Neurospora crassa OR74A: one gene and its partners. The protein of the gene in region 3 purifies or fractionates together with the protein of the main gene of each other region. This does not show direct contact. Links are inferred from orthologs where the notes say so. Each region holds a gene or a part of one and is shown on either strand. Other genes may lie near its edges.

The links.
Region 1: the proteins of NCU03782 (region 3) and NCU03047 purify together in Saccharomyces cerevisiae (affinity purification with mass spectrometry; 6 studies listed by BioGRID, with this or other methods). This does not show direct contact. The link is inferred for Neurospora crassa OR74A from reciprocal best matches to the Saccharomyces cerevisiae genes RPB11 and TFG2.
Region 2: the proteins of NCU03782 (region 3) and NCU03838 purify together in Saccharomyces cerevisiae (affinity purification with mass spectrometry; 3 studies listed by BioGRID). This does not show direct contact. The link is inferred for Neurospora crassa OR74A from reciprocal best matches to the Saccharomyces cerevisiae genes RPB11 and SPT4.

What each region holds. Positions count from the first base shown.
Region 1 is NC_026501.1:8,296,637-8,307,021, forward strand, and holds NCU03047 (hypothetical protein), read left to right. Parts: upstream 1-4,149; 5' UTR 4,150-4,282; coding exon 4,283-4,510; intron 4,511-4,578; coding exon 4,579-4,843; intron 4,844-4,901; coding exon 4,902-5,086; intron 5,087-5,142; coding exon 5,143-5,502; 3' UTR 5,503-5,857; downstream 5,858-10,385. Other genes in the region: NCU03049 (flavin-binding monooxygenase), read right to left, coding at 52-71, 157-225, 313-455; NCU03048 (CCCH zinc finger protein), read right to left, coding at 1,646-2,184, 2,285-2,340, 2,392-2,500, 2,558-3,179; NCU11240 (hypothetical protein), read left to right, coding at 6,094-7,002; NCU16461 (hypothetical protein), read left to right, coding at 7,585-8,097; NCU11241 (nuclease domain-containing protein), read left to right, coding at 8,893-9,447, 9,548-10,132. UniProt on the Saccharomyces cerevisiae protein: TFIIF is a general transcription initiation factor that binds to RNA polymerase II.
Region 2 is NC_026505.1:2,568,269-2,578,339, forward strand, and holds NCU03838 (transcription elongation factor spt-4), read left to right. Parts: upstream 1-4,947; 5' UTR 4,948-5,290; coding exon 5,291-5,371; intron 5,372-5,448; coding exon 5,449-5,699; intron 5,700-5,789; coding exon 5,790-5,820; 3' UTR 5,821-6,140; downstream 6,141-10,071. Other genes in the region: NCU03835 (hypothetical protein), read left to right, coding at 1-279, 372-463, 547-610; NCU03836 (O-sialoglycoprotein endopeptidase, variant), read left to right, coding at 1,283-2,347; NCU03837 (Snf1 kinase complex beta-subunit Gal83), read right to left, coding at 2,702-2,749, 2,818-3,391, 3,469-4,292; NCU03839 (APF1), read right to left, coding at 6,313-7,491; NCU03840 (hypothetical protein), read right to left, coding at 9,064-10,008.
Region 3 is NC_026505.1:2,388,277-2,399,125, reverse strand, and holds NCU03782 (DNA-directed RNA polymerase II subunit RPB11), read left to right. Parts: upstream 1-5,732; 5' UTR 5,733-6,116; coding exon 6,117-6,133; intron 6,134-6,992; coding exon 6,993-7,051; intron 7,052-7,174; coding exon 7,175-7,285; intron 7,286-7,426; coding exon 7,427-7,641; 3' UTR 7,642-8,080; downstream 8,081-10,849. Other genes in the region: NCU03783 (transmembrane domain transporter), read left to right, coding at 2,518-4,653, 4,726-4,908; NCU03781 (CobW domain-containing protein), read right to left, coding at 8,202-9,362; NCU03780 (hypothetical protein), read left to right, coding at 10,389-10,548, 10,637-10,849. UniProt on the Saccharomyces cerevisiae protein: DNA-dependent RNA polymerase catalyzes the transcription of DNA into RNA using the four ribonucleoside triphosphates as substrates. Component of RNA polymerase II which synthesizes mRNA precursors and many functional non-coding RNAs.

The DNA of each region.
Region 1 (10,385 bases), on a different chromosome or scaffold from region 3:
CTGCTTTGGTTTCCTACTCCTGTTTGGGGACCACGACCAGGTCGTACATACCTGGATATGTGTTCACCCACCTTTTTGTTTCTTGCAGTATCAGTGTCTTTGCTTGGTGAATGACTGGCGGTCCAAATGAGTTCATGAGGAAAAGCGTGGACTTACCATGTCCCTCCGACGCCTTCGTATTTCTCATAGACCACTAGCTCGACATTTCGTAGCTTCTCTGGTATTCTTCACAGCACACCCATGTTTGTCAGTATTGAACCGGTGGTACAACTATTTCATCAGCCTAAAGCGGGAGGTAGGGAAGCAACTCACCTAATCGCTGCCCCGATACCACTATACCCAGCGCCAATGACAACTACCCTCAACGGTCTAAGATTTTCCACTACCGTGTCTTTAAGTGTAAACTTTTTCTTGAGGTCACTTCCGTCCATGTGCCCGTTCGTAGTTGTAGCCATCTCCACTGATATCTCTTGACGTATACTTGTTGCGACGTATTTGTTTTGTCAAAGGGTGTAGGTATTAGATCGTCAACCTCATAGTCGAAGACAGACCAGCAGCCAAGGTATTTGCCTCCAAACCTCTCTCTTTCTCTGTATATATACATTTCATCAAACATACCATGAGCCGAAACTTACCACTTCCTACCCCTCACAATCAAATACCCCTGGTCGGACTCAGGACGGTTCGGTAACGGCTTTGCTCAACCGAACCGCACGGCGGCCGCAGGCCTTCGATCTGCGTCATGGACTAGTGCTTTGTGCAAGGGTCTTGGTCTGGGTTTCATTACATCCGCGCCATCTGAGTGGTTGTAGTTGTGAATCCGAGAACGTAGTATATATATAAAACTGCTTTAGTTGCCTAAACCCCAGTGCTCCTTAGTCCCTTACTGACTATCCACAGGAGTGCGGGAGAGGAGGTGGGAGTTAGGTATAGAAAGATCATGAGACTAGTAGTATTATGGAATGTGGGACATCTGCAGGTGCTGATCTATATACGTGTACGGCATTAAGGGGTCATAAGAGGAGTGATTACATGGATTTTGGATAGTGTAAGCGGCGAGTTACTTCTAAACAGAAATCCGGATGCCCAAGAGAAGGGCATCCCGTCGCTAAACTCTCGTTAGGCAGCGGTGAATTCATACGAGTATAATTTAGCGGAGAGCATATGGGGTTAAGGTTGCGAATGCGGGGTGATTGATCTATGATACTCCGGGCCCGAGTGAAGAAGGAATGGCAGTGATGGTGTGGCTATTGAGCTCTCGGCAGACTAACTCTCAGCAGCCATTGGATGAACAGGATAACATTTTGCGGTACCTGCTTGGAGCTTGCCGCAGCACATCAAGGTCGACGTTCACCACAGGCCAATCATTGTAATCATGCACCAAGTGCGGTCATGCACTCCTATATCTATAATAAATTGCCTAGTCTTGGCTGTTCTTCAGAGTGACATCTTCTTTTCTCTCTTTTTTTTCCTTTTGCTTTTCTCTTCCTCCTTTTTTTACTTTTATTATCCTCCTATACCCACTGCCAACCCGGAAAGTGTAACGGGTTGCGCTACAGAAAACAGAAACATCAAAGGGTATCAATAAGCCAGCAAGGCTTAGGAAAAACCAAGGACCAAAACAAACGAGCCAGGACTGCACTAATCAAAACTTGATGAAGTCCTTTTGCTCGGCGAAATCCAAGTCAGGATCGTCGTCCTGGCCAACAAACTCGTCAACGTCGTCCGAGTCGATATCGTCGCTATCGACTGAATCGTCGTCGCTGGATAGATCCTCCATCTCCGCGTCGTCGCGGGCATTGACCCTGCGCAAGACGCTTGCCCTCTCCCGGTGCGGCAGTTTACAGCCCTTGGTATTACACACGCCAGTGTTGCTGAAGTCGGGACATTCGAAAACATGGCGGTTGATGCAGCTTGCACCCTTCTCGCAGTAGCCGTAGAGGCCAAATTCTCGGCAGACCGAGGCAGCTGGAGACACCTTTGCGTGAGTGAATTTGCAGTCAGGTTTGGTGCAACTGTCCTTAATGAAGTGCAAGCACGTGGGGGTGCGTTCCGCGGAGAGTTCGTGCGAAAGATCGCAAGAGTCACCGTTGATGCATTCTTCTTGTTGGAGAAAGTCCTTGCAAATGGCAACCTTGGCTGGGTCGTGGATATATCGGCACCGAGGGCCTTTGGTGCATGAACCTGCGGGGGATGTCAGTATAAACATCGTTTGGACTTACCAGACCCAGTCATTTCGACGTGGTGTCGGTTAAGGTTCCGAAATCTGAAAAGTTGGAGTTACCGGTCATGGAGAAATTGCGACAAGGCACGTTGACCTTCTTGAAAGCGCCGGATTGCCTATCGCAAACTAGAATTAGCGGATGATTCAAAAGGGACCGGGCCACATACCGCTGCGCTTTAACAATACCATGGCGGTACAAATTCCCGTTCTTGCTGCGGTAGAACTTGACACCGCCTACGATAGCCATTTTCGGGGTCGGCCCTGAGTTGAGATCGCCTGTGAAAGGGTGAGTATTCGGCACATCCAGCACTTCTGGCCGCGGTTTCGACGCACCGGGAATCTTGACAAGTTTGCTTCCGTTCTTCGTAACGGCAAAACGTATACCCTGCACGGTTAGTTCATATTGGTTTGGTGCCGCTGCCGACCGATCGCCAGCACGGTGTAGATGGTTGATCAACTTGGTTCGTTCCAGATCATCTCTCTGCTGTTGCTTCTGGCGCAGAGTTTGCTCAATGGCCCGAGTGCGAGCCTGCGCTTCCTTATGATAGATGGACGAATTGATGATTTGAAGGTGACGGTCGTTCTTTGCTACCCAGGACGACGGGGACGAGTCGAGCGCGGCGCCTGAACTGGGCGGACCTGCTTTACCTTGTTGAGACGCGCCGTTCAGCACCAAGGTCCTGTGACGGTGGGCAGGCTTGGTGTAATGGGCGCGGGTCGGGTATGGGTAGCCTCCTCTTTGATGACGCCAGCTTCCAGAATAACCTGAGTCTTCAAGACCGTCAATACCAGCACGGTTGCTGTTATGATACTCCACGGACGTACGGTGATGCGGTGGTGCGTGGCTGCTCTGCGGCGGAACAAGGCCTGCTTGTTGATTTTTGTGCTGGTTGATCTGACCGGCCACACGGGCAATCCTCTCCATCAGCTCGTGTTCCTCGGCAGACATTGTCATCTTGTTATCTTTTTGTTCGAATCCAAGAGCCAATACAAGTAGCTGTTGCTGCAATTTCAATATTAAAAGCGTATCGGTATATTGCGGTCACGTTCCACGATCAAGCAGTACCGGTCTTTGTCGGTTATTTAGATTGAAGAAAATATGATAAAGGTCGCGATGTTGCTGGTGCCGTTTGTTCGATGCGATAAGGTAACGTTGTTGTTGGGATGATTGTGGCGGCGCGCAAAACAGAGGATGATGGGTGCAAGAAGGATTTTGGTTCGGATGTTCAAGGACGGCGGCGAACTGCCAGTGATCTTTTGAGGGGGGATGCGCCAGAGGTCAGCCAATCACAAACGGCCAAGGTCGCTATCAGAGAAAGAAGGCCATGGAGTTAAGTAAGTAATGCGTCAACCAGTCAGGGCACGACCAACCAGGCAGGACCTGAACATTGGGAAGCTATGCTGTGCACATATGATAGTATGGACACTACCTACGTCGAGGAAAGCAGTTTATGCAAGATACCAAGCCTCAATGCCCCGTGGTGAGCTCACATTTCCTCCTAATCAGCTACCATCGGCTTGTTTCCAAAAAGACCCAAGGCACTCTTCATACCTTACTTCCACTTCTGTTCCTTTCTTTACGCCCAAAAAAATAACGCCGGATACAAACAAGAACGCTCCCGTAGACAGCCATACTGCAACCTATGAGACTCCAAGTTTGAACTGCCCTCAGAGAAATCCAAAACCACAGGCGCCTTCACCAGACTGAAGTCAACCTTTAACTGAAAGATGTATGCAGGATCCTAGGTACAGCTAAGTACTTGCCACCAGAGACCCCACTAGCCGCTCCGCTTGCGGGAGAGCGGGTCGCGCTAGGATCAGGTAGCGGCTTACATAATAGTATACAGGTACGTATCCAAGGTTCAACGGTCTTTGTCCTGACGTTGACGTTCGCGGCTGCTTTCAACCAGGCAACCTCTCTACAACAACAACGACCACGACAATCACGCCCCAACTTTCCGTCCACGCTACCACAAGACGCCGACAACCAGCGAACGAAAGGCCATTTTACGCACATATTAATATTTGCTAGTCTTGTCACAGCGACCAACTCCAATCATGGCCGATCCAATGAGAATTAAGCCTGACCCGGACGCAGCCTTCGCCGAAGACGAGCTTGACGAATCAGCCGACTTGGGATTCTATGATCCTAATGATTTTCCCTTGAAAAACGCTTATCTGGCTCGCCTTCCGGGGTATGTCTGGCAAGCATGGGCTTCGCTTCCCGATGATGCTGAGATTCAGATTGGCAAAGTTCGTCGAATTGTGCAAGATGGTCAACCGGAGGTCAGTAGCAGCACTCCCTGACGAGCACTACGTTTTCAATAGGTTACTGAGACTGTTTGGGCTTTCAGAAGCTACAAATTCTCCTCGACGATCTTCCACAACACTACGATATTCCCAAGGAATACAACCTCGACATGGTGGATGCCAACGTCAACAACACCTTCATCTTTGGTGAACATGATCACCCAAGTTATGCCGCCAAGAACAAGGAGCGGGCTGAGGCTCTAGCTCAGGGCATACCTGCACACCTTGTGCGCCAGCAGATGAAGCAGTCGGAGCCACCTCAGGAGCGCGGAAAGAAGGGACAGCAGTACACCAAGAAGGCCATCCCGAGTTCGTTACACCCAATCTCAACTGGCCTGCCTTGATAGGTGCTAACTTAAGAGTTCAGAACAAACGGCGATTGCAGCAACAATCAAGCGTGAGGTTGTCGCCACTCCTTTGGAAAATCCCGAGACAGACTATGCGCTTGCTGCCCGAGGCCAGAAGCAGACGGCTCCCAAACATACAGTACAGGTCCTGGATCGTCTGCCACCCAATGGTATCACGGATCCCAAGGGTTGGGAAACATTTCTGGTGCGTGTACTTGAAGACATATCACCACTAGAGCTTTCACTAATAGCAAACAATAGCGCACGACCGAGGCTCCGAGCAAGGCCAAGAAGATGGACAACAAGACAGCTCGCTGGCCAGAGAACCAGCTGCTCGACGAGCTCGCCAAATGCTTCTCCGTCTACATGTACTGGTCCATCAAGGCGCTGCGCTCTCGGATTCCTCAGCCCGAGGCGTTCATTCGAGAGTGCTTGGACAAGATTGCCGTTATTCACCGAACTGGTACTTTTGCAAACCACTGGTCTCTCAAACCGGAATACCAAAGTATGATTTCTGATAAGGACCTGCCGGCACCAACCAACGAAGCGGCTCCCAAACCCGAAATCGCATCTGAGGACGAGGACGACGACGATATCAAGATGGAGGACGTCCTGTTTTAAGATGACAGGACTGAGCGCTGTCATGATGGATGCGATCTTCCTTCTGACTCATTCACTTACTTTGCGTCAGGCGTTTAGAGTAGACTGGGTTTGCTGCGTTTTTCCTTTGCTCGCAAGACGAGCGGTCTTTCAAGACCATGCTCATACAATGATACCCGTTGCATCAATGAACAAGAGTCGGTTTTCCAGTTTGGGTTATTTGTTCCTTTAATTGCGTCAAAGCGTTGCAGTCGTTGGTTATGCAAAGGCTCTTACATTACAAGTGTTAGTCACAATGCGTGACGTTGGTACAACTCTTTGGGCGATCCTTTGGTCAACAACATTATCCATAAATGAAGTGGGGCCCTATGTCAATCATTCCCGATTCTTACTGGCCAAGAAATGCTATGGCTACTGGTGCTTTCCTTCTTGTCCTGGCTACAATTCACCTGGAGTTTCCATTACCTACTTACCTCCACCCACCTTCGGGATAGCACAACTTGAACCCTAAATAAAGCCACATTCATTCTGATCCGAGCCAACCTCCTTTCAAGTTCAATGCCTTTCTGGAAACCCGCTCATCAAAGCATAACCCGCAACCTTACCAAAAGAATGGCTCGCTTTATAGTCTTTGACTTCGACGGTACCGTTACCCAGCAAGACACTATCAACGTGCTCGCTCAATTTGCCATCTCGTCTCGCGGTTGCGCCTACTCTCAACAAAGTGCTTCCGAAAACTGGAAACGGATAGTCGACCTATACCTCGCCGACTACGCAAAGCATAAAGAGTTATACGTCCCCAAAGCCGAGTATAGAAAACTATTAGCGCAGGAGCTGGCGTACCTAGAGAGCTTGCAAACCGTTGAACTGTCTAGTGCGGAGAGAGTTGTTAATACAGGGTTCTTTGCCAGGTTGACAAGTGAGCAGTGGGAAGAGTTTGGGAGACAGGCTCGACGGATTGGCGAGGAATGGAATCCCGACTGGGACGGGGATGAAGGGAAAGCAGTGAGGGTGAGAAAGGGATTTTCGGAGTTTGTGCAACAAGCTAAGGCGAGGGGAGACAAATTGGGGCTAGTGAGCGTGAACTGGTCCAGGTCGTTCGTTGAAGGGGTGATAGAACCTGAAGATCCGGACCGGAGTGAGTTTGTTAAGAGGGTTAACGAGATTAAGTGGCCTGGCGGACAGCTGGAAGGACCGGAGGAAATGGGCGGGAAGGTGATGATGACTGCTAAGGATAAACTTGAGGGGTTTGAGACGATGCTGCTGGAAGAGGCAGCCGGGGAGAGCAAAAAGCGTAAAAGCGTGTACTTTGGCGACTCGGTGACGGATCTGGAGTGTTTGTTGAGAGCGGATACAGGGATCGTTGTGGTAAATGAGGGTGAGGAGGAGCAGAGCACGTTATTGGGGACCCTAAAGAGGCTGGGCTTTGAGGTGCCGCATGTGTCGGAGGGTCGGGAAGGCATAAAGTTGGCATGGGCAAGAGATTTCAAGGAGGTTTTAGGAAACAGTATTATGGGTTGACTTCAAGCTTGATAATTGGGTGTATATCTGTTGAATGCGATGAAAGCCACAGGTATTCATGCCCTCCCTTAGTCCATGGTTCTTAGACTACGGTACCAATGACAAGTCGGAACTTCTTTCATGTCTATCATCCAATGTATTTGAACCACAAAGCCAAGGAAAGTCAATGATAGGATTTGCCCATAGGATCTTGATGTTTGATCAAAAGCAGACCTTGGAACTTATTACATGTGTGTTTGTCTCTAATTTTCGTTGTCCTCATTTCTCTGACCAATCAATGGCACCACTAGTGTTGACAATACAAAGTCTTTGTCCGCAAACATGTCACAACTGATTTTCTGCTATGTTCAGAACATGATCTCAGATAACAATACTGTTGGTTTGCTTTTGTCTTGTGCTGAAACATTGAACCAGACTCTCATTCCATCAGCACGGAATGAATAACATTATAAGCAGCGATGTCCACCGCCAATACCATGTGTGCCAAACATCATCATGTTTCTGATACCAGTACTTATCCTTCACTACGTGCCATCCCTTTGTCCAAACTAATATCAGACAACAACACAACACCTACTAGATATGTGTATCCATCATCGTCTCATCTACCGCAAATGCGGCCACTTCACCTGGCTAGGCATAACAAAGAAGTGCCAGTCAGAACGCAACTTCGACCAAGGCAAGATCGACGAAGGCTGCAATGTCATGTGGACGCATCCGCTTTCAACATACCGAGTTGACAGGTGTTGCGAGAGTTGCGCCCTCGAAAGAGCAACAACGGATAGAGCTATTGATGAAATCAGAGGGAGGATCCAGTTGACTAGAGAGTTGCTAGCCAAGATCCAGGACCTACGGGAGGCTTCTTCTGGGGTTCAAGAGCGTGGCTGGAGTGATGGGGGGGTTGAGTCTGCTGCCTCAATGAACAGGGGAAGTATCGTGAAGGTGGGAGTTGTCGACGACTGTGGGGGTGACGGTGATGTCGAGGAGGCAGAAACCATGGATCTTATCGATCCTAATGAAGTGATCAAGGTGAGTCAAGCTCATTTCCGAAATATGATGGAGTTGGTGAGGGAGCATGCCTCTAGTTCGGAGTGAAGTCCTAAATGATCTTGGATGAGGTTCCCTTTACCATGGTTATTCCTGGTCCTCATAACGAGAGTGAGCCTGTAACAGACTGGTAGTAACAATTCGCGTAGAAAAACGAACAGTTTGTTGGCGGCATTAGCATCGGCCTTCAACCTCTCAAATCTCCAAATCCACCGAAAAAGCGATTGGAAAGGAAGCTAAAAGCGAAAATTCCAATTCGCAGCAGCTCCTTACAAATTCAACATGTCATCGTCAAAGACCACGGTCCCTTACGTGCTAGGTAAGCTTGAAATTACCCAGCCCAGCCTTTGAGTCCTGTCAAGGAGCTGCCACTAATAGCAGCCGTTAAGTAGTGATCAAGAGACACCGCGGCCACTCAGCCATGAAGACGAGCTCAGTCAATGTAGCGAATCGCTCTTTTCGGATGAGACAAATCACGAACTGACCATGAGCGACGTGACCTCCTAAATTGATCACCTGGCTTCGACAAAAGTGCCGTGGTTGGTTGGGTTGGGGAACAGAACGACGGATCACGGAAGGGGGTCCAAGTCAGCTGGAAGACCGGCCACTCTTGGCGCTGCTGTCAAAAGGGCGCTGGACCTACTACACTATGTACACGGGTAGAGCCAATCCACGCCAAGCAATATGGGGATCGGGGAATGAGGACCGTGCACTGAGTCCCTTAAATCCTGCCTGCCCCAACCGGTTCGTCGTATCGCATAACGCAGGAACGCGCATCGCAACCGACATCACCGCTACGATTCCCCATTTTCCTCATTTTCCCCATTCCCCCAGCTCTTGACGATGCCATGGGGTCTGTGGGCATCGCCTACCGGGAAGGATGAGGGAACTCCATCACCCTCTTCTTCGACCAAGTATTCATCAACAACATCAACAACAAGCGTCAACCACAGCAATCATGGCATCCACAACATGCCTTCGAACTTCCTTTCCAACTCGCCTCGTCCAACGGAGCGTGCGCCGCCGCCTGCCGCAGATATGGCAGACATACCACCCATCCCGCCCCAACTAAAAAAGAGAGCCATTTCCTGGAACGATTCGCTTTGGACGCTTATCGACTGGCAGCACTACCAAGAACCGCGATCGATCGTGCTCTACACCCTTCCGACCATCGGAGCTTTCGCGCTCTTCGGCATCTGGCGTTCGTTTCTCCGCCGCTTTCGCGGCACCGCATATATCTCGCCCGGCTTCTTTCGGCGGCGCACGCTGCTGGGCAAGGTGACGAGCGTAGGCGACGGCGATAACTTTCATTTCTTTCACACGCCCGGCGGGCGGTTGGCGGGGTGGGGCTGGTTGCGTAGGGTGCCAATGGTTAGGAAGGAATTGAAGGATCGAACGGTTAGTTTGCCTTTGCGCAGTCCTCAACACTACGAAATGTAATATGTGAATGAAAGAATGAGCGGCGATAAAGTGTTGACTCGAGTGCCGCTTTTACCAGATCCCAATCCGCATCGCTGGCATCGACGCCCCAGAAGGCGCCCACTTCGGCCGGCCCGCACAACCCTACTCGAGCGAAGCCCTCCAGTGGCTCCGAAACTACATTCTCGGCAAGCGCGTGCGGGCACGCATATACCGCAAGGATCAGTACGACCGGGTCGTTGCGACCGTCTTCGTTCGGAAACCGCCCTTCTTCCTGCGCAAGGACGTTGGGCTGGAAATGCTTAAACTTGGGCTGGCGACCACGTACGAAGCCAAGACGGGCGCGGAGTTTGGCGGGCCTAAGATGGAACAGGTGTATAAGAATGCTGAGGCGGCGGCGAGGAGGAAGGGGAAGGGGATGTGGGCGAATACCCTGACGGGATTTTTCGGGCTGGGAAGGAGAAGGGAAATCGAGAGTCCGAGACAGTATAAGGACCGGATGAGAGCGGCGGGAAACACTATACTGGGGAAGAAGACTGCGGCGCCCAAAGCAACAACGGCTACCAAGAAGGCGCCGGCCGTGAAGAGGGAGACGGCGGCGGCTGCGAAGAAGGAGAAGACCAAAGCGACGGCTGCAGATAGTACCGTGGCAAAGATGCCATGATGGTTGCAGGAAACGGACGACGACTGATAATACCCATGAAATGATATATCCAAGGAAGAGGTCAGTTGGCACAGAAACACAGTCATTGCTCGGAAGTGCTGTCTTGGTTCGCCGAGTCTCCAATCGTTTGGACTTATCGTACACAATCGCATTGAATCTGAGTAGAGTCTATACTGAGCAGGCCTTGTACATTCGGCTTTGTGACATATGGAAAGCCTTTCCAAGAAGATATGAAGGATACAACTGTTGCCGC
Region 2 (10,071 bases), about 180 kb from region 3:
TCTGAAGTCAGACGAACGAGGAAAACACACCTCAAGAGGGAATATGGGTATCTCCATCCCCATAGACTTGGGGCGGTGCTGAATTCACGGCCTCCAATCCGGCCCAGACGGCCCCGTGAGCTCGAAAGCTTGCAAGAACCGAACAAGAAGCAGCCCGGCCATGTTCTGCCGAAGAAATGGCAGGCAAAGGATGGTGAAGACAAGGAAGAAGTCGGCTGGGCTGTTGAAAGAGGCAGGTCTGGCCGTGCGGTTGGGAGGTTTGGGTTTGGCGGCAACGAGGTGAGGTGTTGGGTGATACAGGCTCGGAGGATGGAAGATGGTTGGACGGCTGCGGACTCTCGCTTGGCTGGGAGAATTGATTCTCGGTGCAGTGGGGTCCCGTGCAGAGAGCCCCAAGCCCAGGCTCGGCAGACCCCGAACTGCTCGGAGCCTTTTTGCACTTCCACAGAGCAAGTCAAATCACGTAAGCTCATCTGCACATATTTGTTGCAATGGAACTGTTGGATCAGCTCATGGCGAAAAAGCTAGAAATAATCAAACTTCTAGTGTCTTTTACACAACTCATGCATCCATGGTCACAGTTTGCGCCGTTGCGGCTATATGTGGATAGAAATCGTTGCTACTACTAGCGCACGAGCCACGCTACGTGCCTGCCTTACATAACATTGCATTGCGCATCCAAAGCAACATAAAGGTCCCACTCGACTGTGCACAAGCGGCTGCGGGGACCCACATTTCATTGAACCCCTCATCGACTCCATGGAAGGCTCTGACGAAATCCCATTGCTGATTCCCATGGCGAGGCCGTTCCCTTGTTTTGAGAAGAACAACGGGCGAGAATGGCTTTAAAGCATCGTTACAAGTAGTGAACATGTCGACCGGTTTTAGGAGACGGGATACCGGCCCGCTGGGGGAATAAGTATGTACATCCTCTTTCATCTCGATCTCGAGTTTCGTCACCTTGATCACTACGGCGCGCCTAGCCTAGGTATTCACAGACGCGACGAAATTTTCCCCACTCTAAAAAGGTGCCCCTCCATTATCACTTTCTCCATCTGACATCTGGCATTGGATGTGGCACTGACAACATCCATCCATCCATCCTATTCAGTACGCGACGCGACGCCTATCAACAACCAAAGGATATCAAGGTCCTCGATAAACATCCCCAACGAAATATCCTTGCGAGTTATCTGATACGAAGCAACCGGCTCCCGATTCACCAAGTAACCGAAACCCTCTCCCTCCCTCGCTCTATCCAACAAAGCCCCAACAGCCAACAATGCCCGACGCCAAAGGCCGCCGCATCGCTCTCGGATGCGAAGGCTCCGCCAACAAGCTCGGCATCGGCATCATTGCGCACGACCCCATCACCGGCGAAGCCCTTGTCCTGTCCAACGTGCGCGACACCTTCGTCTCTCCTCCCGGCACCGGTTTCCTTCCCAAGGACACAGCCCGACACCACCGTGCCTACTTTGTGCGTGTAGCCAAGAAGGCGCTCGCCTTGTCGGGGGTCTCCATCTCGGAAATCGACTGCATCTGCTACACCAAGGGGCCCGGGATGGGCGGGCCCCTAACGTCGGTGGCCGTGGGCGCCCGCACACTCGCGCTGCTGTGGGGTAAAGAATTGGTGGGCGTGAACCACTGTGTCGGGCATATCGAGATGGGGCGGGCGATAACGGGGGCGTCGAACCCGGTGGTGCTGTACGTGAGCGGGGGTAATACGCAGGTGATTGCGTACGCGGAGCAGCGGTACCGTATCTTTGGCGAGACGCTGGATATTGCAGTGGGTAATTGCCTGGACCGGTTCGCGCGCACGCTGGAGATCAGCAACGACCCGGCGCCCGGGTACAATATTGAGCAGCTGGCCAAGCAAGGTGGGCGAGTCTTGTTGGACTTGCCGTATGCGGTCAAGGGAATGGATTGCTCGTTCAGCGGAATCCTGGGGCGGGCAGATGACTTGGCGGCGCAGATGAAGGCGGGCGAGCCGGGCCCCGACGGCGAACCGTTTACACCCGCAGATCTGTGCTTCAGCTTGCAGGAAACGGTATTTGCCATGCTTGTCGAGATCACCGAGCGGGCTATGGCGCACGTCGGTAGCAACCAGGTTCTTATTGTTGGCGGTGTCGGTTGCAACGAGCGGCTACAGGAGATGATGGGCGCGATGGCAGCGGAGCGAGGCGGAAGTGTCTACGCCACCGACGAGCGGTTCTGCATCGACAACGGCATCATGATTGCTCATGCTGGTCTATTGGCCTACGAGACGGGCTTCCGGACGCCGCTTGATGAAAGCACATGTACACAACGCTTCAGAACCGACGAAGTCTTCGTCAAGTGGAGGGACTAATGACAAGGAAGGAAACGAAGACGAAGATGACCATTACGACGATACCCCCAAATCCCATAACCTTTACTCTATCCACGGCAGCCACTCTATATGCGCCTCTTGTTGTCCCTTAGTGCCCCCTTAATGGAGCAGGATGCCCATGGACAGTTTGCCGACAACAATTTGCGCCCGCTTCCATAAAGTGTCCTCGTCATCGCTACAGCGTCCTATAGACATTACTTGTAGACATATCTAGAATAGGTCATACTGGGCGGTTCATCATGCACCGCTATTCTACTCATGACTTGCGCTGTTCGTCTAGTAGTGGTAGCCACCAGCCAACTGTACCCAGCTCTGACTACTAGCATTCCAAACTCAGATGCCCTCTGTCGTTGTTGGCTTGTACATGATTGTCGTCACATACTGTACAGTCCGTTAGCATCAACGACTACGTGCAAAAAGATGCAGCTACGAAATACGGGGAGACGAACCTTGTTCTTGTATCTCGTCGTGGCCGACACAGCCAGAATATTATTCTTAATACTGCTAGTAGCTAGATGGTTAAGAACGGTATGGTTGGGCATGTTCAGAACGCTGTTGTCATCCTTGATCAAGGTGGCCGCGTTGAGGATGGGCTTGCCGAGGAAGCCAGGAAGCGCAGGCGGCGTTGGGAGTTTCTCGATGGCGTTGACAGCACTCAGGTAAGGTGGACTTTCCTCGGGTGCGTCGAAGTCGAGTAGATATTGCGGGATCTTGTTCTCGAACAGCTCCGCCGGAGGGACAGGTCGGTCCCTAGGTGCCTTGCTTTCCTCCGTCTCGGACGCGGAGGTTTTGGGCTCCGTAGGTTGCTGGGAATCCTTGGCGGCGCTTGCAGCAGCTGCCTGGGCAGCGGTGCGCCCCACATCATCAGGGCTGACCTCGATGTAGTTGACCAGGTTGTTGCCAAAGTCTACCGTGGTCGGCAAGTCTGGCGAGGTCTGCATTTGCCCGTCAACCAGAAAGCGAACGTGATGTGTGCCCGGCAGGATATTGATAATAGCAGCGAATACACCCGGTCGGCCCTCACTGTTGGCGAGTAGCGGTGTCAGCAAGGCCCCATCCGTATTGAGAGCGAAAGTGGCCGGGATGTAGAAAGTACTTACACCGGGTGTAATCGTGTCTTCCTGTTCCATTGGAAGATGGTGCCTGTCACGTAAACCTTCTCGCCGCCACGGAGCCATTCGAGCCTGGTGGGGACAGTCGGTCTAGTCTTGTCCACCCGTAGCTCCTCCGTGTCTTCTTCGTCCAGAGTTGAGCTGTTACTCAAGTTGGAAGAGCGTCTGGTGAGCGCGGTGAAAGTGTCGGCATCCTCGAGTGGGACCCCAATGTCGGTCGGGGCAATGATAGGCGATCCGGGTGTGTGGACCTCTTCCTCGATCGGCAGAGGTAGTCGCGGCGGCCTGGTCAGGTACGAGACATCTTGCAGACTGCTCAGCTGCATAGCCGCAGTCTCAAAGGCATCCGATCTCTCTGATAGCGGTGATCGCACCGGCGACCTAGGTGAGCACGACGAGGCGTGGCAGGGTGTGGGCACGGCTACAGGTTTCGCGGGCTCATGACTGTCTTCGGGTCTCAGCTGTCTTACTTCGACAGGTTTGGTGGGGGTGGCAGAGCTGGTAGGCACCGACGAGCCCGGCGAGCCGCTCTGAGAAGGTGGCATTCGCGAGTGCAGCGACTTGGGACGAGCGGTGGTTGAGGGCGGCTGGACGGCGGTGCCCTGGGCCTGGGTCAAGGAGGGCTCAGGAGGGGCAGCGACTCGCTGATTTGGGACCGGTATAGGGTGCTTGGTATCGCGCTTCACTGCTCTGGCAGAGTCATTTTGGATGGAAGCCAGCGACTGGTGCTGAGACTGCGATTGAGAGGAGGAGGAGGAGGATTGCGGATTCGGGGTCTTGGAGTCTCTGGAGGTGGAGGGGTTGTTCCCCATTTTCCCTAGCTCGATCGCTGGCGCTGATGACGGGATGGGGTCGCCGTGGTGGTCGGGTCGGTCGAACGGGGTCGTCACAGGTGGTTCGCTGCTACCGCGGTCTGCTGCTGTTACTGCTACACCTGTTCAACAATGCGTCCACCGGGTGCAATCAATTCATCTTCCACTCTCCGGGGTAATTGGCCGAGTTCGGATAGAAGGTGGTTTGACAGTCGAGGGGCTTTGCATGCTACGCCAGCGCTGGTCGTGGCTGTGGTTGTGTGGTTTTTGGGAATTCGAACGACGTTGTCAGGTGTCGTGTCGTAATAGAGTTGGAGCAGGCAATATCGCAGCAAACTGGAAGATGTGATGATTCGAGTCGTGTCGAATCGAGGATGCGCGAAACAAGTGGAAGAAGTGGAAGTCGAGAGAATGACGGGTAGGTAGAGAGCTCAGTTCAGTTATCAGAGTATCACTGCAGCAGTTGACTGTCCTCCCTTGGGCCAAAAAGCACAGCTGCCATCCACCTGGTTGCTCGATAAGAAGCGGGCGACCACTGGCAACTGAATGGAACTCGGATGCAACGCCCCGGACTCGGCGAACAGAGTTGAACTGTGGATGAGTGTGAGACGGCGCCCAGCCCAACTGCACGGCAGTGTCTCCACTGTCCACCTCCAGGCATCGGCCCCAGCTTCCACTTCGGCCCCCACCTTTCCCACATTCTCTCCTGCTTCTCTAGCTCCTGGACCGTGCGCCCCTTGCATGTCAACTCCTGGCCCGCTGTGAGACCTGGAGCTTGCGCTGGCGCGACGCGGCAGGCAAGAGAGGCGGCCGATCTTCTTTCCAGAGAACAACTTATCGATGTTCACATGCATTCCTCTAAAGAACATCACCCTCCTTCGTCAAGTGTCCTTTTCCAGTTATTCATTCACTCGCTCAGCTATTCGTAGACGAGTGAGTTATCGGTTTCCGCCCCCAAAGTTACCAGTAACATCGCCATCCCTACACATCTCCCAAAAATGTCGGAGAACTACGTTGCCCCCGGCCAGCAGCGCTACCTTCGTGCCTGCATGGTCTGCTCTATCGTCATGACCTATGCTGTAAGTCGAGCTGCCCTTCCTCGTTTCTAGTCACTCTATGACCGACAAGTTTCTGACCTTTTTTGTTTTTGTCATAGCGCTTCCGTGACGAAGGATGCCCCAACTGCGAAGACTTCCTCCATCTCCAGGGCTCGCCGGATCAGATCGACAGCTGCACGTCGCAAGTCTTTGAAGGAATCATCACCATTGCCAACCCGCAGAAGTCGTGGGTGGCGAAGTGGCAGAGGCTGGACGGTTATGTGAAGGGTGTATACGCGACCAAGGTGTCGGGCCAGTTGCCGGATGACGTGCGCACCACGTTGGAGGATGACGGCATTCAGTATATCCCGTAAGTTTCCTGCTTACACTCGTGTGGTCTGGCGAAGCAGGCTATGATCGTGGGGTTTTCGGGGCACAGCCAGAAACTAACTTGGAGCAGGCGCGATGGCAGTGCGACGGAAGCGGACTAGAAACTCGAAGCTGCGGTGCAAGAAAACAAGACGGAATAGGGCGGATAAGAAAGCAGGAAAGAGAACCGACAAGCAAGAAGGAAGAGGGACCGATAATAGATCGTTCACAGACAACCCAGGAGCGGAATGCGGAATGCCTGTTAAAGGGAAGGCAACAGGAGTTCAAGGCGTTAAGGCTGGTTTAAAGGGCGTGGTCTAGACAGCAGGATAGTGGCCATTTTTTGGGTTTTGCATGATCAACCCAGGGCTATAATTACACACTGCAGCGAAATACAACAATCATACAAATGAGTTTATCACTACCTAACCTATATGGAAGATTATTCATCCAGCTACGGATCCCTTTTACGAAAACCCCAATGCAATATGGTATCTTTTTTTTAAACATTTCCCATCACGCCGAAAACGCCCCTATAACATGTACCGAAATATTGCCAAACCCGGAGATAGCATAACCTTTGACCAGTTACCCACGTGAGACTCCACAGTATGTTAAAACTGGAAGCGTGGCTTCTTGTTGGGAAAGTTCCCACCCTTCTCCTCGCGAGCCCTCTTGCGCTCCAACTCCTCCTTCATTATCCTCTCGGCCTCGCTCATCTTCTTGGGCGGAGCAGCCATAACCTTCTTGGGAGCCCCAGCAAACGCATTCTTGAAGACGTTCTTCGGTTGGGGCTTCATGCCGAACTTCATAGATACCGGCTTCGTGGCGGGAGCAGCGGCAGCAGCAGGACCAGCAGGACCAGCAGTCGAGTCAACCGCGGGTTTGCTTTCCTCTGCCGTCGTCTTGGCAGTGGCCTCTTCGCCCTTTGAACTTGCTTCCACCTTTGCTTGCTCAGAGCTTACACCGTCCGTCGTCGTCTTCGTTATTGTCGAAGGTGGCGTCACGGTATCCTTCTTCTCCTCCGCAGCAGGAGGAACCGATCCGTCCCCAGCACCCGGTGTTGGCATTGCCGCCGCCGATGTCGAACCCTTCTCACCCTCACCCGACCCCGACCCGGGCTCCTCTTTCTTTGTTGTGGCCGATTTTCCAAAACTCAACTTAATCTTCTCCCCCTCCCTCCTCTTCAACTCCTTCCTCTCCTCCTCCTCCGCATCAAAGCTAACCCCCCTCGCCTCGGCATCCTTTTGCGCTCTCTTAATTTGCTCCCTCAAAGCCCTTTGCTCCCTCTCCTCATCCCCCTTATCCATCATCTCCTTCCTCCTGACCTTCTCCCTCCTCTCCATCGCCTCGGGAGAATCATCAATCCACGCCACAAACAACCCCTCCCCCTCCTTCTCCTCCACCCTACACAACCCTTCCCTGCCCAAAAACTTTGCAAACTCTGTGAGGGAATGCCACTTGGTCGCGTTGAGATGCACGTGGTCCTTGCGCGCAATCACCTCCTGGTAAAATTTATTGATGTGGATCTCCTTCTCGCCATGGCTGGTCTTCAGCTGCGCGATGAAATCCTTGAGGAACTGGTCGGAAAAGGTGTCTTGCACGCCCTTGAAGTTGGCGCCCGCCTCGAGCGCTTTGGCCGTGTGCGAGGGCGACTGGCAGTGCATCTTGTACCCGTTCTCGTCGCGGCAGGATTTCTCGCACAGTTGGCAGTACCAGCGCAGCCGGTTGAGGCCGCGGGATTTCATCTTGTTGGCCAGATATTTGGCGGAGCCGACTTCTGCTTTGGGCATCGTGAATGGGTAATTACGGACTCCGCTGCGCGCGAGTCGGGGCGGGTGGGGGAGGTGATTGGTTGTATGTGTTTTGTTTTCGGAGGGTGTCGCTCGGTACAGTACAGGACGATGCGGCGGATGACGGTTTGGAAGTTGCGTTGGGTCAAGATTAACTATGTGACGGAGATGGTGAGTGAGTAGTGTTGGATGACTTGGAGCAAAAATCGTGGTGTTTCGCTCTTCGACCACCTTGCGTTGTTGTTGGAAAGTTGATGTTCTGCAACGGGTAAAGGTTCGAGTGTAGGCCCCGATTGCCAGCCGCCACACAAATGTTACATGCCGAATGCCAAGCATTTGAAGCGATCAACCAACAACCCTAACCCAGACATGCTTCCCATTTGGTCGAGGATCACCCCTTTTCGCTTTGTTTACACAAAGGAATCTGATTCCCAACGGGGTATTTTTGATGCTACGGATGACACTGTGCCTCGGAAATTGTGTTTCGGCCGCTTACGGAGAGGTCTGCCATACAACGGACTTGGTCTGCGCTGTGATAGAGTATATGCCCGGCTTGCTCGAGGTTTACACTTTTCTGTACTCTTCGACGACGTCTTTTTTCTTTTTTCCTCTTTTTTTATTGGTTTTCTCTCGGACACTCCGGTTGACCAGGATCGCGATCCCCACTTTCACCTTTATGCAAAGGTATTTCTGGTTATCAATTGGTGCTATGCTTATCGTTCACTCTCTCGGTTACAATGACTGAGTTTCCTCGCACATTCGTACCTTCTTACGACCACGCTTCTTCATTTCTTGTAACGGATCCATCAACTGTCGACGATCTTTCAGCAGTATTTACACAGTTACAGTTATGTTGACAGCAAACTACAGCTGACATATGATGAGTATCCAAAAACAACAGCCACCCCATCAAACCGAGATTTCCCGCATTCACCCAAAAGCAAAAAGACATCAAACGCAAAAAAGCCACAAAAAAAGACACCATCGGTCGAAACGGACGCGTTTGGGTATCAAATTGACAAAAACAAAAGAAGGCAATGAGTATATACAAGAAAAACCAGAACATGATTGTACCGTAAGTGAAATGACATATTGATGTCGTATGAAGACCAAAGGCGATCGCTCTGTAACTCCAAAAACCGCCAGATAGAAGAGAAGTTGCGCTCAAACTCTCATGTTGAAAATGGCATGGTTTCTGATTCTCGGACGATGGTTATATGTCCCGTGTAATATAGAATGCCGTGGGTCCAAATAAAGCGTATTAATCGGCATGGATAACAACAAAAGGCTGATATACGTACTGCATAGTAGTATATAGGCGATGATGTCATAATGCAAGATCGGCATCCGGGATTCGAAGTTGTTCGTGCTGCTCGGTGACTGACGCATTGAGCCAGGTTTCTGGAAGGTTCAGTCTGTTGGCATATCCCTGCGATGGCACGGTGCTTGATCGTGCCTGGCTCCAGTGGTGATGAGCATCCTCAACGGCTTTCTCTCTGACATCTGGACTTGGGTCCTCCTTCCAGAGCGCTGCCGACAGGGTGGAAAGTAACCAATGCCGAGTTCTCTCGCTCATATCATCCCTGGCGGAGCTGTGACTGGTGCCTGGGCTTCTATTTGCTCGATCCTGGGTGTTCCCTGCGAGCCAGAATTCGATGTTCCGTGACCCTTGCTTCGTAGAGTATTATTCGACCCCAAACCGCGCTTCATCATTTTCCCGAGGACTGTGACGAGCTCACACGCATCGTTAAACATGTCGTTGTCGATGCCTTCCGTCGCCTCATACACCTCCGAGATGGTTTCCTTTGCGAGTCTTCGGCTAGCCTCGGCATCGTGAACGCATTCGTATAGGAAGGCTGCGTATTCTGTCTTGACCGAAAGCCGTAGCGAATGTGATCCCCAAAGGTGCTGTTCCGCGAGCTGGATAGCTTCCTTGAAGCATTGCTGGGCCAGTGGTAGGTAGTCCCCGGGCTTCATGAGGAAGGCTGTTGGTGATTGCGGACCAAAACCTGGGGGTGGACCAACGGGCCCCCCCTCAGATATCGACCTTGAAGCACCGTGATCGTATGTGTCATTGCCTTTTGCTACCCTTTTTCCCTTGTCGCTGGCATTCGCTACACTGCTTGTTGACTGGCCTTCCGGGGTGTTGGTTCCTATCGTTGTAACAGGTGGAGTGTTGTGAAACAAGACGATAATGTGATAGAATGAAGCTAGCAGCTTGTATGCTAGGATTTTGAGTTCGACATTCTTCTTTAGCGTTGCCGATGGCAGTACATATTGATCGAGCAGTAGTAACCCCTCCCGTGACAACCAGACGATGTGAAGATGAAGGTCTAATGGAGGATTTCCTGAGCTGCCGTCTTGTCGGCGCTGTTTTCGTGCGGTGATGAGCTGACTCGAGAGGTTTATCGAAAGTCCTAGAATCTTGTACAGGACAGAGGAAAGCAGGGGGTTTTCACTCTCGACTAGCCGGGCGAGCTTGCCAAGAAACTTTTGGTCGATCTCCGAGGAAGCCATGAAGTCAAGCGTTCGCAATCGACTCAACTGATCCTTTCCCTATGATGAAAAAGTAATGAATCC
Region 3 (10,849 bases):
ACCCCAGTCTCAGACCTTGCGGTGTCTATATATCCCTTGGATGCTGTGATCCTGGGAAGGGATCGGCGGCCTGGTGGTGTGGGAGACGTAGTTCCAGCGTAACGCGAGGAAGCTATCAGCGGAGGACAGAAACAGAGAGAAGGCGACCAAGCTTCGTCTATACACTGCACTCGAGCATGATGCTTTGGTGGTTGTATATCGAAATGTAGCGGTGGTGAAAGGATCCTTTTTTGAAGCTAGAGGTAAAGCTTGATAGACGACGTTTTTTTTTAAGTGACTTGCTGGCGAATCAGAAGCTATTCCGTCCCTGGATAAGTCTCTCACCACTAGCATCAACTCAGCTTGACAGTATGGCGTCTCGATCTCTTTTTTTTCTTCTTTTCTTTTTTTCTTTTTCGGTAGCTTTTGTTCAGGTTTTCGTCGTGAGTAACGAAGCGCCTTGAATAAGGAAGGTGCTGGTAGCCGTAAAATCAACTCTGAAAGGGGGGCTCCAAGGACACAATCAAGATCAGGAAGGAGGGACTCAATGGGTGACGATGAGCAAGCGGGCTAAGAAGGAGCGACCTCGAACAAGAGACGGATACAAGTCAAAAACTGAAGTGTACAAGTACAACTAGAGGTACTGAAGCCAAACAGCTGAACGAATCAACCCCACCATCAAACCTAAGGTAGGGAAAACCTGCTTAATTCCGAAACATCCGGTACTGCTGCAGTCGACATCACGGGTGAGTTATGTTTACGGACCGACCATCATGGCCTGACGATTGGAGAAGCCGTCTTCCTCCATCGGCCTCCACGGTTGTTGTCAGACCTGTCCCGGCTGCGGAAGCGGAGGGTGCTGTTGCCGACCCTCTCCCCCGCCTTTACCGGCCCGCTCCAATGGGACCGGGCAGGGAATCAGGATCGCCAGCAAGGGCCTACCTAGAATAGGGCATTGTTAGGCGCTGTTATGGGGGCGGTGGAGTTGCATCAGCGCCAGAGTCTGGAGGCCGAGGGCCATTGTGGTGGTGATGATGATGATGATGATACCTTTTGTGTTTCCCTGGTGTTACTATATCGAAGATAACGGGTTGTACCGTCCTGACATCTCAATATAGGCCTGTAACAGATACTCGTCGTCTCTATCTCTGTTCCAGCTACAAAAACCGAGGGTATCGCTCAGATTTGTTTTGGGTCTCGCGCCATGGCATGTATCGGCGCATGACTGGATTCAACGAGGATATCGGCGGGGTCCATGTTAGCGGATAACATGAGCTGAATGATCCTCCTTCATGTCATGCTGTCCGGTGCTGCGTGTAGACAACTACAGTAGGTATGACAATACCGAGTACCGACATGGTAACCAAAGCGTGAGGCATTCAGCCCTGAATTGTGAAGCGTGATCGTGATTACACATGTGTGTATCGTTGTCCACGCTTTTGGTGAGAGACCGGAAGTGATGATCTCTTTGGTGGACGGTGACCTCCCGTCTGCTTAAACAGACATTCCCGTCAGAGCATCTGGGTCAGGGTCGGGTCTCAAGAGTGGATCTCCCTAGCAAGCCTGCACAGCAAGGATCGCCCAGGCGCCTGCCCGTCGCAGTGCCTGGCGCAGTGTCAGCAGGGCCCGATGCTGTTACCTCTAGGTTAAGAGGCCCACCCGACGAGGCGTTTGCAGCGTAACGAGGCACCCACGATCTCTTGTCGTCTCTTGACGATGGTCACGCTGGTCACGCTTTCTCTACGTGCCCTGTTCTCCTATCGCCAGGACACGTTCTCATTCGTACAGCGCTCACCAGATTTATGGCGGCTCCTTATCTCAGTTGGCCCAAGTGCCACTTCGCCGATGATGTACTCCAATCAAAGACTCCAATGCCCTTGTGCTGTCGGCCAGCGCAGGTCACACGGACCCGTCTCTTGATTGCTGCATCTTGACAAAAGTCGCTCGACGATACCAACGTCAAAAGGGTAAAAGAGAGAAACATCTCCATCTTTGATACGAGAATCGTTACAATATCCCGATACATATCTCGGACGGAAGTACATATTGTTACTACCCACCGCAACACGCTGCTTACTCTCCTTCGTTTACTTGACTCGGGCCTTATCAATATCGCCCCTCAAAGTCCCAGATAGGAAGTTGGCGCTGAAGTAAACGGAGCAGACGGAGCGACTGAGAGTGCTGCGGCAGTGTTTCGGACACGCGTCGACAACCCCAAGATCGACCTACCTAGAACTACCTAGTCTCCCACTTCTAGCAATAAGAACTTGTTACAAAGTCTTCGTTGCGTGCCATCATCGAACAGTCCTTCGCTCAGGCATCCTTCCATCCACCGCTAGAAAACAGAGAGCCGTATCTGAAACACGGACGGTCACCATCTTTATCTCTCTCTCCAGTCTCTGACCTTGGCCTTGACCTTACCTCCGACACCACGGACTGAACTGCGCTCCAGTATCTCCACGCCGATTGTGCTCTAGAAAGAGGTCTGGGCTACCATTACATCATCACCACAGGCACCACCTCTACTGCTTAACGGCCATGTCGAATGCGGGCAAAGACTCGGGAAGGAACTCACCGGTCCCGGGTAATATCCCCGTCCGCCCTTCTTCGCCCGGCGGTTCTTTTCGCCCCGGCTCCTTCCGTCCCAGCTCGTTTCGCGCCCGTGAGCTCGGCACGTCGATACCACGCGCTGATAGCATCGCGCGCCTCGCCACGCCCGTACTACCACAACAACAGCCGTCTGGCACTCCAACACCTATTCCGATAGAGCGAGGTGATGCTGGCGCCTTGCCACCACTTCCCGGCGCCGGGTCACAGTCTGCTGGCCCCGGTGTTTCTGCTCTAGCCGCTGCCTTGTCCAACACCTACGGAGCCTCGCCACCTCGCTTTGGCACTCCTCCTGCGCGCGCCCTCTCCCCTGCCCCTTCGGCTGCCCAGCTCCAAAGATCCGCGACGCCCACCACGAACTACGGCTCCTTCGAGACAAGATCAAGGTTACCGTCCACCGGTATCAACGGTTTCGGAGCATACGAAGATCCTGAGATCATCAAGAGACACTTGGTCCAACCTGGGGATAGCGCTGGGGAGGAGACAGGCGAGAGATCCAAGGGCAAGCAGCCTGCCGAAGACGACGATGAGTTCTCGAGTTTGCAGTTACAGGGTGGTGACATCACGCGCCCTATATACAGATGGGCGGAGGAGATAGAACAGCGCAACAAGGCCAAGCGCAGCCACAGTTTCAGCTACCCCAGGCCCGAGCCAGAAAATGAGGTTCTGGATATCAACTCAATCAAAGTCCCTGGTGGCTTCCGGCGCAATTACCTGCGGAGAAACGCGAGAGACCCCTCGGCTCATCCTGACGACTCCGAAAACGGTGCGGGCCAGGGTGCGCCACCGCCGAGGTTACTGACGACTAGCTTCCTCGAATTCCTTTCTTTGTACGGACATTTCGCCGGTGAGGAACTCGAGGAAGACGATGAAGTGCTCCAGCCAGGCGAATACTTCACCTCCGGAAGCGACGAGGGCGAGTGGTGGAGTGACGAGGGCTCTGTTGATGATCACGAGCCCATGGAGGACAGCACACTGTTAACGCCGTCTCGACGTAAGAGGAGAAGGAAGGAGCGTGGTGGGAGTGGCCGAAATAGTCCCATGAGCGCGGCAATGCTTCTCCTCAAGTCCTTCGTCGGTACAGGTGTTCTCTTCCTCCCCAGAGCCTACCTCAACGGCGGCATGGTCTTTAGTAACGCCGTGCTCCTCTTCGTGGCGGCTCTGAGCTACTACTGCTTTGTTCTCCTCGTCTCCACTCGCCTCAAGGTGGAAGGATCCTTTGGTGACATTGGTGGTATTCTCTATGGCAAGTGGATGCGAAACCTGATTCTCTTCTCCATCGTCATCAGTCAACTGGGTTTCGTGGCGGCTTACATCGTCTTCACGTCGGAGAACTTGCAAGCATTCATCCTTGCCGTCACCAATTGCAAGACCTACATCTCTATATCATGGCTGATTATCATGCAAATGATCATCTTCCTGCCGTTCTCGCTGCTGCGTGATATTGGCAAATTGGGATTCACTGCGCTTATTGCTGACGCCTTCATCGTCATCGGTCTGGCCTACCTCTTCTACTACGACGTCCTGACTCTCAACACCTCGGGCCTGGCCGACATCATCATGTTCAACCAGAAGGACTGGACCCTTTTCATCGGCACCGCCATTTTTACCTTTGAGGGCATCGGCCTCATCATCCCGATCCAGGAGTCCATGAGAAACCCGGAGAAGTTCCCCAAGGTGATGGCCGTCGTCATGATCATCATCACCACTTTGTTCACCGTTATGGGCGCCGTCTCCTATGCCGCCTACGGCTCCAAGACCGAGACAGTCGTGCTCCTCAACTTGCCCCAGGACAACAAAATGGTCAACGGCGTGCAGTTCCTCTACTCGCTCGCCATCCTGCTTTCGACCCCACTGCAGATCTTCCCCGCCATCAGGATCACGGAGAATGCACTCTTCACGAAGAGCGGAAAGTACAATCCGTATATCAAGTGGCAGAAGAACGTGTTCCGCTTCTTTGTCGTCGCTTTCTGCGCCATGGTTGCATGGGCGGGTGCCGATAACTTGGACAAGTTCGTCGCACTGGTCGGTAACTTTGCTTGCATCCCGTTGGTGTATATCTATCCGGTGAGTTTTGCTACGTACCCTTGCTCCTTCTTGTGTAGATGATCAATCAGACGCTAACACAGTCACAAACAGCCGATGCTGCACTACAGGGGCGTCGCCAGAAGCGCTCTCTGGAAATTCTCGGATGTTGCCCTGTGCGTCTTTGGCTTCATTGCCATGGCGTACACGACTACCTTGACTGTCATGAGCTGGGCCGGCGCTGGAGAGGGCGGAGAATCGCCTGGCTATTGCGATGCTAAGGGATTGAACCCGTAAAGGCGTGCAAACGTGTACGTATTGATCACGGAATGAGTCATGAGTATCCTCTTGATTATATGGGACGAGCGTTGGGGTTTATCAAGAACAATGGATCCGACGATATGATTATGGTTGTATAGAATGAAAGGAAATCATGGGATAGGGGTCGACATGATGAGAGCAAGACATATGGGTTATGACTAGATGATTGTGGGATGGACTACACTGTAGACTTGATGGGAGTGAGCAATCTGTTGCCGAGAAGCATGTCTAGAGTTTGTATTGCATCGTGAGGGAAGCGTTTCCCTGTTTGTTTGAAGAAGCTCGTTACCATAACGATGGAGCGAGAATAGTTTGACTTTTGAATAAATTGATTAGTCTGGCATTTTCCCCATTGTACGTCTATGGTGTCGATGTCATTTTACTGTTGTTTTGACGTGTCATTACTGGGTTTATTCTCCCTAGCAGTCTCTACAATCTCTGACTCTTTGAGGGGCGGCCTTTCTCTCCCATTGCAAACAGTGTTCGAGCGAACAGTGTGGTAGCTACGATGACCTTCCATATATCGGTTTACTCTTTGCATACTACCATCCTCATTTCATGGTTGGAAAGAGTTCCTTCCCCACAGTGTGTCGCCGTCGTCTGCTTCGCCAACAAGCAAGCTCACTGCTTTCTTTCTTTGTTGAACCCTAACCCTCCCTTGCAAGCATGTATGTATACAGCCCAGCGGACCGAGTCATCCAAAAGCGGGATGGCGCTGAAATAACTGAGCGCACAGACCACACGTACCTTGATCCGGAGTTCAGTGCTCCAACTGCGTTGCCCCCATCTCACAGTGGATGCGCAACCTGGACGACCTCGAAGACATCGATCAAGTGCGTTCACTTGTGTTAAAACATCCCACCCCCTTCACCAAGATCAAAACCTTCACCAGCTGACGAGCAGTATCAAAACCTGAGCGACTGAAACCTTTGGTAGTCTGTCCCATTCACGCTCCAATTTTGGGTATCGAAATTCCTACGTTCCCCCGGTCCCGCCATAAGAGCGAATCTACACAATTGCTACATCAACCACTCGACGTTCTTGAGCAGTTGACATCGTCACCCCCCGGTCTCAACCTCAACACCATATCGCAAATTCACGATATCGGGCGACGACGACAATCGTTTATACACCACCGATAACCAACAACGAGCTCTACGTCATATCGTTAGCCAATCGCCAAAATGAACGCCCCTGATAGGTTAGTAGAATCTTCTCTTCTTGCTGGTTTCTTTCCACATGGAGAAACCAACCCCCCTCTTCCTTCTGCCCTGGACGACGCGCCTCACGCAAATGCCGGAAACACTCGACCTGGGTTGCCTTAAATCTCTTGAGGGCGTTCGACAAGGAATCATAACGACTATGTCAAAAGTCATTATGTCACATGCCGGTGTCGACTGGAACCGCAATGTCAACTCATCTCAGTACGACAATGGAACAAATCGACCTGGACGGACAGGCAGACACTCGAATAGTCCGCCCCAGTTCTTAGCCTTACGTGTCTATCCTTCATGGTCTACGAGCTTGGTTCAATCTTCCCCTCCGGTAGGCGGTGTTTGTCTGGTTGCTGGTGCCAGGTGCCTATTGTTTTGAACGCGAAACAAACGGGACGGCTTTCATCTGATCATGGACCATGGACGCAAATGGAAGGCAACAGGCAGGCGAGGCAGCTGGGAGACTAGCGATCTGGGAGTTGGTGGGTAACTTGTCTACCACGGATTCACCTTGACCAAACTCAATCTGGATGGAGAGTCGCTGGCTGTCAACGATATAAAAGGCGGACGACTTCCTCCTCATACACCACTTAAACCCTTCGTCAAACCAACATCCCTTTGGACTAGCACACAGTCCATCACGACAAGAAGGATATTGATTCCATGCCCTCCTCGTCACCTGGCAACAGCGAACAGGACCAAGATCAACAAGATGAGCGGAGCCAATCCCAAGCAAAACAGCGAGCCGAACCGGTCCGCCTTCTTCTTTCCGTTTATACTCTCATCATTACCTCACTTTTGGGTAGTAGGAAAACATTACTGACATTTGCTTCCAAAAACAACCAGGTTCGAGCTCTTCCTTCTCCAGGATGGAGAGAAGAAGATTGAGGAGAAGGTTTTCACTGGTGAGTCGAGTCGATCTCCTCATCTTCTTGATAATGAGGTGATACGTGGGGAGAAGAAGAAATAGTAGAAGAAGGAAATGGCAAGAAAACTGACCCCGATTTTTTTTTCCATTACTTGGATAGGCATGTCGAACACCTCCGACTTCAAGATTCTCAAGGAGGACCACACCCTCGGCAACCTCCTCGCCGAACATCTGAAGCAGGCCCCTCATGTCTTGATGGCAGGATACAAGAGTACGTCACGTCGTACCGCCGCGTCTTACTTCACTTTTACTTTTCTTCTCTTTACCCCCCCTCCCCACACAAACCCTCACCACCACCACCACCACCACCCATGGCGAGATAAACAGAAACTGACTGACACGTAATTATTAGTTGCCCACCCTAACGTGCCGGAACTCTTCATCCGTATCCAGACAGACGGAAGCATCACCCCGCGCGAGGCTCTCGTTGGCGCGTGCAAGCAGCTCGTGGCCATGTACGGCCAATTGGGCCGCGAGTTCCAGAAGGAGCTTGCCCTGCGCCAGTATGCTGACCAGGGCGAGCAGGGAGGCGGCGTGAACGGCGGCGCTAATGGCGGTCATTACTGATCGAATCGATGCCCGCCTTAACGGGGTTGTTCGCGGTGTTTACTCTACTCCCGACACGCCTTTACTTTACTTTACTTGACTGCCGGAGGAAAGTTTACGAAGGTCGTCCGATGCTGAATTGGGGGGGTGGGAAAAGAGATGCGATGGTGGCATGGACGGTGAAAACATGATTAGCTCATTATCTTTGCTGTTTTGTTGATCGGATCGGTCGTCATTCAAAAACGGCGTTTAGGGATTTTCTTTGAGGATGCTTTTCAGTCAGTCTCTTTGCAGGCGTTAATGATCAAGACATGCATGGGATATGGAAAATAAGGGGTTTTGACAGATCTCTCCGTTTACTCGCTCAATGCTAGGGCAGAATGGGAACCATAGATTTGTTCAAGGTGTCTTGTGGTGAGAGTATGCGAGGAGTGGATGTTGAATTTTTAAGAAGTTTGTCAATATGTCTTTGGGACGTCTGCTTCTATTTGCTCCCATCAGGTGCGCTCTATTCTATCCCGAAGTCTTATTGTTCGTTCATACATAATCCATAGCTCCTCGTCTATCAAACGTGCCGCTCTCTAGTTGACCTTGGTAACGCTCAACTCGCCCTTCCCATTCTCCTCTTCAAGCTCCAACAACCCACCAGCCTCCAGTCTCTTCTTCCACTTGGTGCTCTCATACCTGGCCAGAATCATGGTCATCCTCAGTATCGCCTCACTGCTGGATTCGTGCTCCTTGACTTCAGCCGCAACAGGTGTAAACGTCCACCTTCCAAACGCCCAGTTGAGGATATACCTCGTCGTTTGAGCTTCGCTTCCCGCGGACGTAGGTGGTACTGGAACCTTGGTATCCTCATCCGAATTCTTCAGCACCTCCCGCGCAGTTTTCGCAGAAACCGCCAACACGGCTTTGATCCTGTACACCTCGTCCTTGTTCGTTTTCCTCAAGAAAGCCAACAGCTTCGTCGCATCCACCGTCGCTTCTCTGTTGCCGCTCTTAAGCTCAATACTCAACACCTCCACCTCCGTCTGATGATCATGCTTATGCTTATCGTCATGTCCACACTTGTCATCGTGAACATGCCCATCCTCTTCCGTAAGACCCCTCGCCAACCCCCCATCAATCCCAAACACCACCGACATATCCACCCACCCCTTATCACTCTTCACCCACGCTGTGTCCACCTCCAAATCTCCCACCCTATCCAAAACCTCGTCAAACCTCCTCTCCCCCGCCCCTTCCCACTTGTTAAACACAATCAGATCCGTATACCGCGCCTGAATCCGCGCCGTATAGCTAGTATCCTCATACCCCTTCCAATTCTCCACATCAATCACGCTCACCACGCCATCCAGCACATACTGGCCCCCCGTCTCCCTCGCCAGCCGGTTGACCTCGAGCGCCAGCGTAGCAGGGAACGCAGAGCCCGAGGTCTCAATGACGATTCGGTCCGGCCGAACGGTGGACTGGAGCTCGGAAAGGGCGACCGAGAGTTGACCGACGAGGTTGCAGCAGATGCAACCGTTCAAAAGCTCGGAGACGCCGGCGATGGCCGAGGAGGAGGCGAGCTGGGAGTCGACGGCCAGATCGCCGAATTCGTTCTTGAGGAGGGCGAGGCGGTAGGAGGGATTGGCGGCGCGGAGCTGGGGGAGGAGGTTCAGAATGAGAGTGGTTTTGCCGGAGCCGAGGAAGCCGGTTATGATGGTTATGGGGATAGGGGATGATTGGTCGCGCGTCATTGTGGTGGTTTGTTCGTGGGTTGGCTGGTTGGTTGTTGCGTGATTGTGTTGGAGGGGTAGGTTTCGTAAGTATAGGATCGAGTCTGCGACTACACTACGTCTAGGGTCTAAGTCGCGATGAAAAGTTCGGGGTAGGTCGATCGATCGAATGTCGGGAAGATAATTGAGAGTAGGCGACCTGTAATTGAGGTATGTAGGAGGTCAAGACTGTCGCAAATTTCGGGCAATCCAGGATTGCAGAATTGTAAAAGAGAGAAGGGAAAGATCGCCAAGCTGCCCTGGTCTCTGGAGAATAGCTTTTCGATTCCGATCCGACTTCGGGGACGTCCAACTTGGTCAAGAAGGGTTTATAAAAGTACCGACAGTATGTATTGTTCAAGAGGATTGAGAAAAGCGACTCTATTTAATATATAAAAACTTTACAACAATATGAAGAGAGACATAACAAAATCATATGGTTCCTGGAGTTTCCAGCATCATGGTCGCCCTCTGGCGTCGGGTCTTGCCGCCGCTTGGAGGGGCACGACAAGGTGGCGGGGGCTCGTGGGCTCAGTGGGCTGTTCTGGGCTTCTAGCCGGTCCGATAAGATCGGGCGATAAGGGCGATAAGGACATCCTCCTCCTCCTCGATGGTGAATTGAGGTCGACGATGACTGGAACGTGCCATGGTGTTCGTCGGACAAGATATGTATCTTCATTGCTATGAATTGAAGTATCTGGATCTTCTCTGCATGAACAGAAAACAATGTAGTTATGAAAGTTCAGACGACGGAAGCAAAGCGCACATTTGTCTTTGTACAACGAATGGATTTCGTGACGTCATCCCCACCTAAATAGTGACCACTTACACCTGCTTCATGTCTCAATCGAAGCCATGAAACTGCCCGTCTGAAGTTGTGCTCTTGTGTTTAGACCCTTCTCAAACACTTTTTCTCGTCTTGCCTGAGTTGTCAATAATCGAAAGCTAGTACCATAGCTCTCTCTTCTCTTCCATCACCACCAATCCATCTTCCACGGCACCATCACCATGTCAACAAACCCCAACACCGTCAGCCAACCCGGGGCCGAGGGACAAGATCCCTCAGACTACAAGCCCCAGCTTGATCAAATTGCCGAGCAGAAAAGAAAGGGTCCAGAGGAGCAACAACAACCCCAACAAAGCGGAGGAAGCGGGATCGTTGACAAGAGTATGTAACAACCCAGTCTTCGATTTCTAATATTCGTTTGTAACATCCCAAGCTTACCTATCCCTACTTGTGCTACAAAAACAAATAGTCTCGGAATACGTTCCAGCATCAGTTAGCGAAACGATTGGACTAGGAAAGAAGCAGCAGCAGCAGCAGCAGCAGCAAGAAGAGATGAAGCCCAAGGAAGAAGACCTCAGCGCTGTACCACCGCACCGTCCTCATCACGATGAACAGATTCAAGAGTTCATTAGGGATCAGCATCGGAGCAAGGAGATTTTGGGTGATGATGAGGAGACAAAGG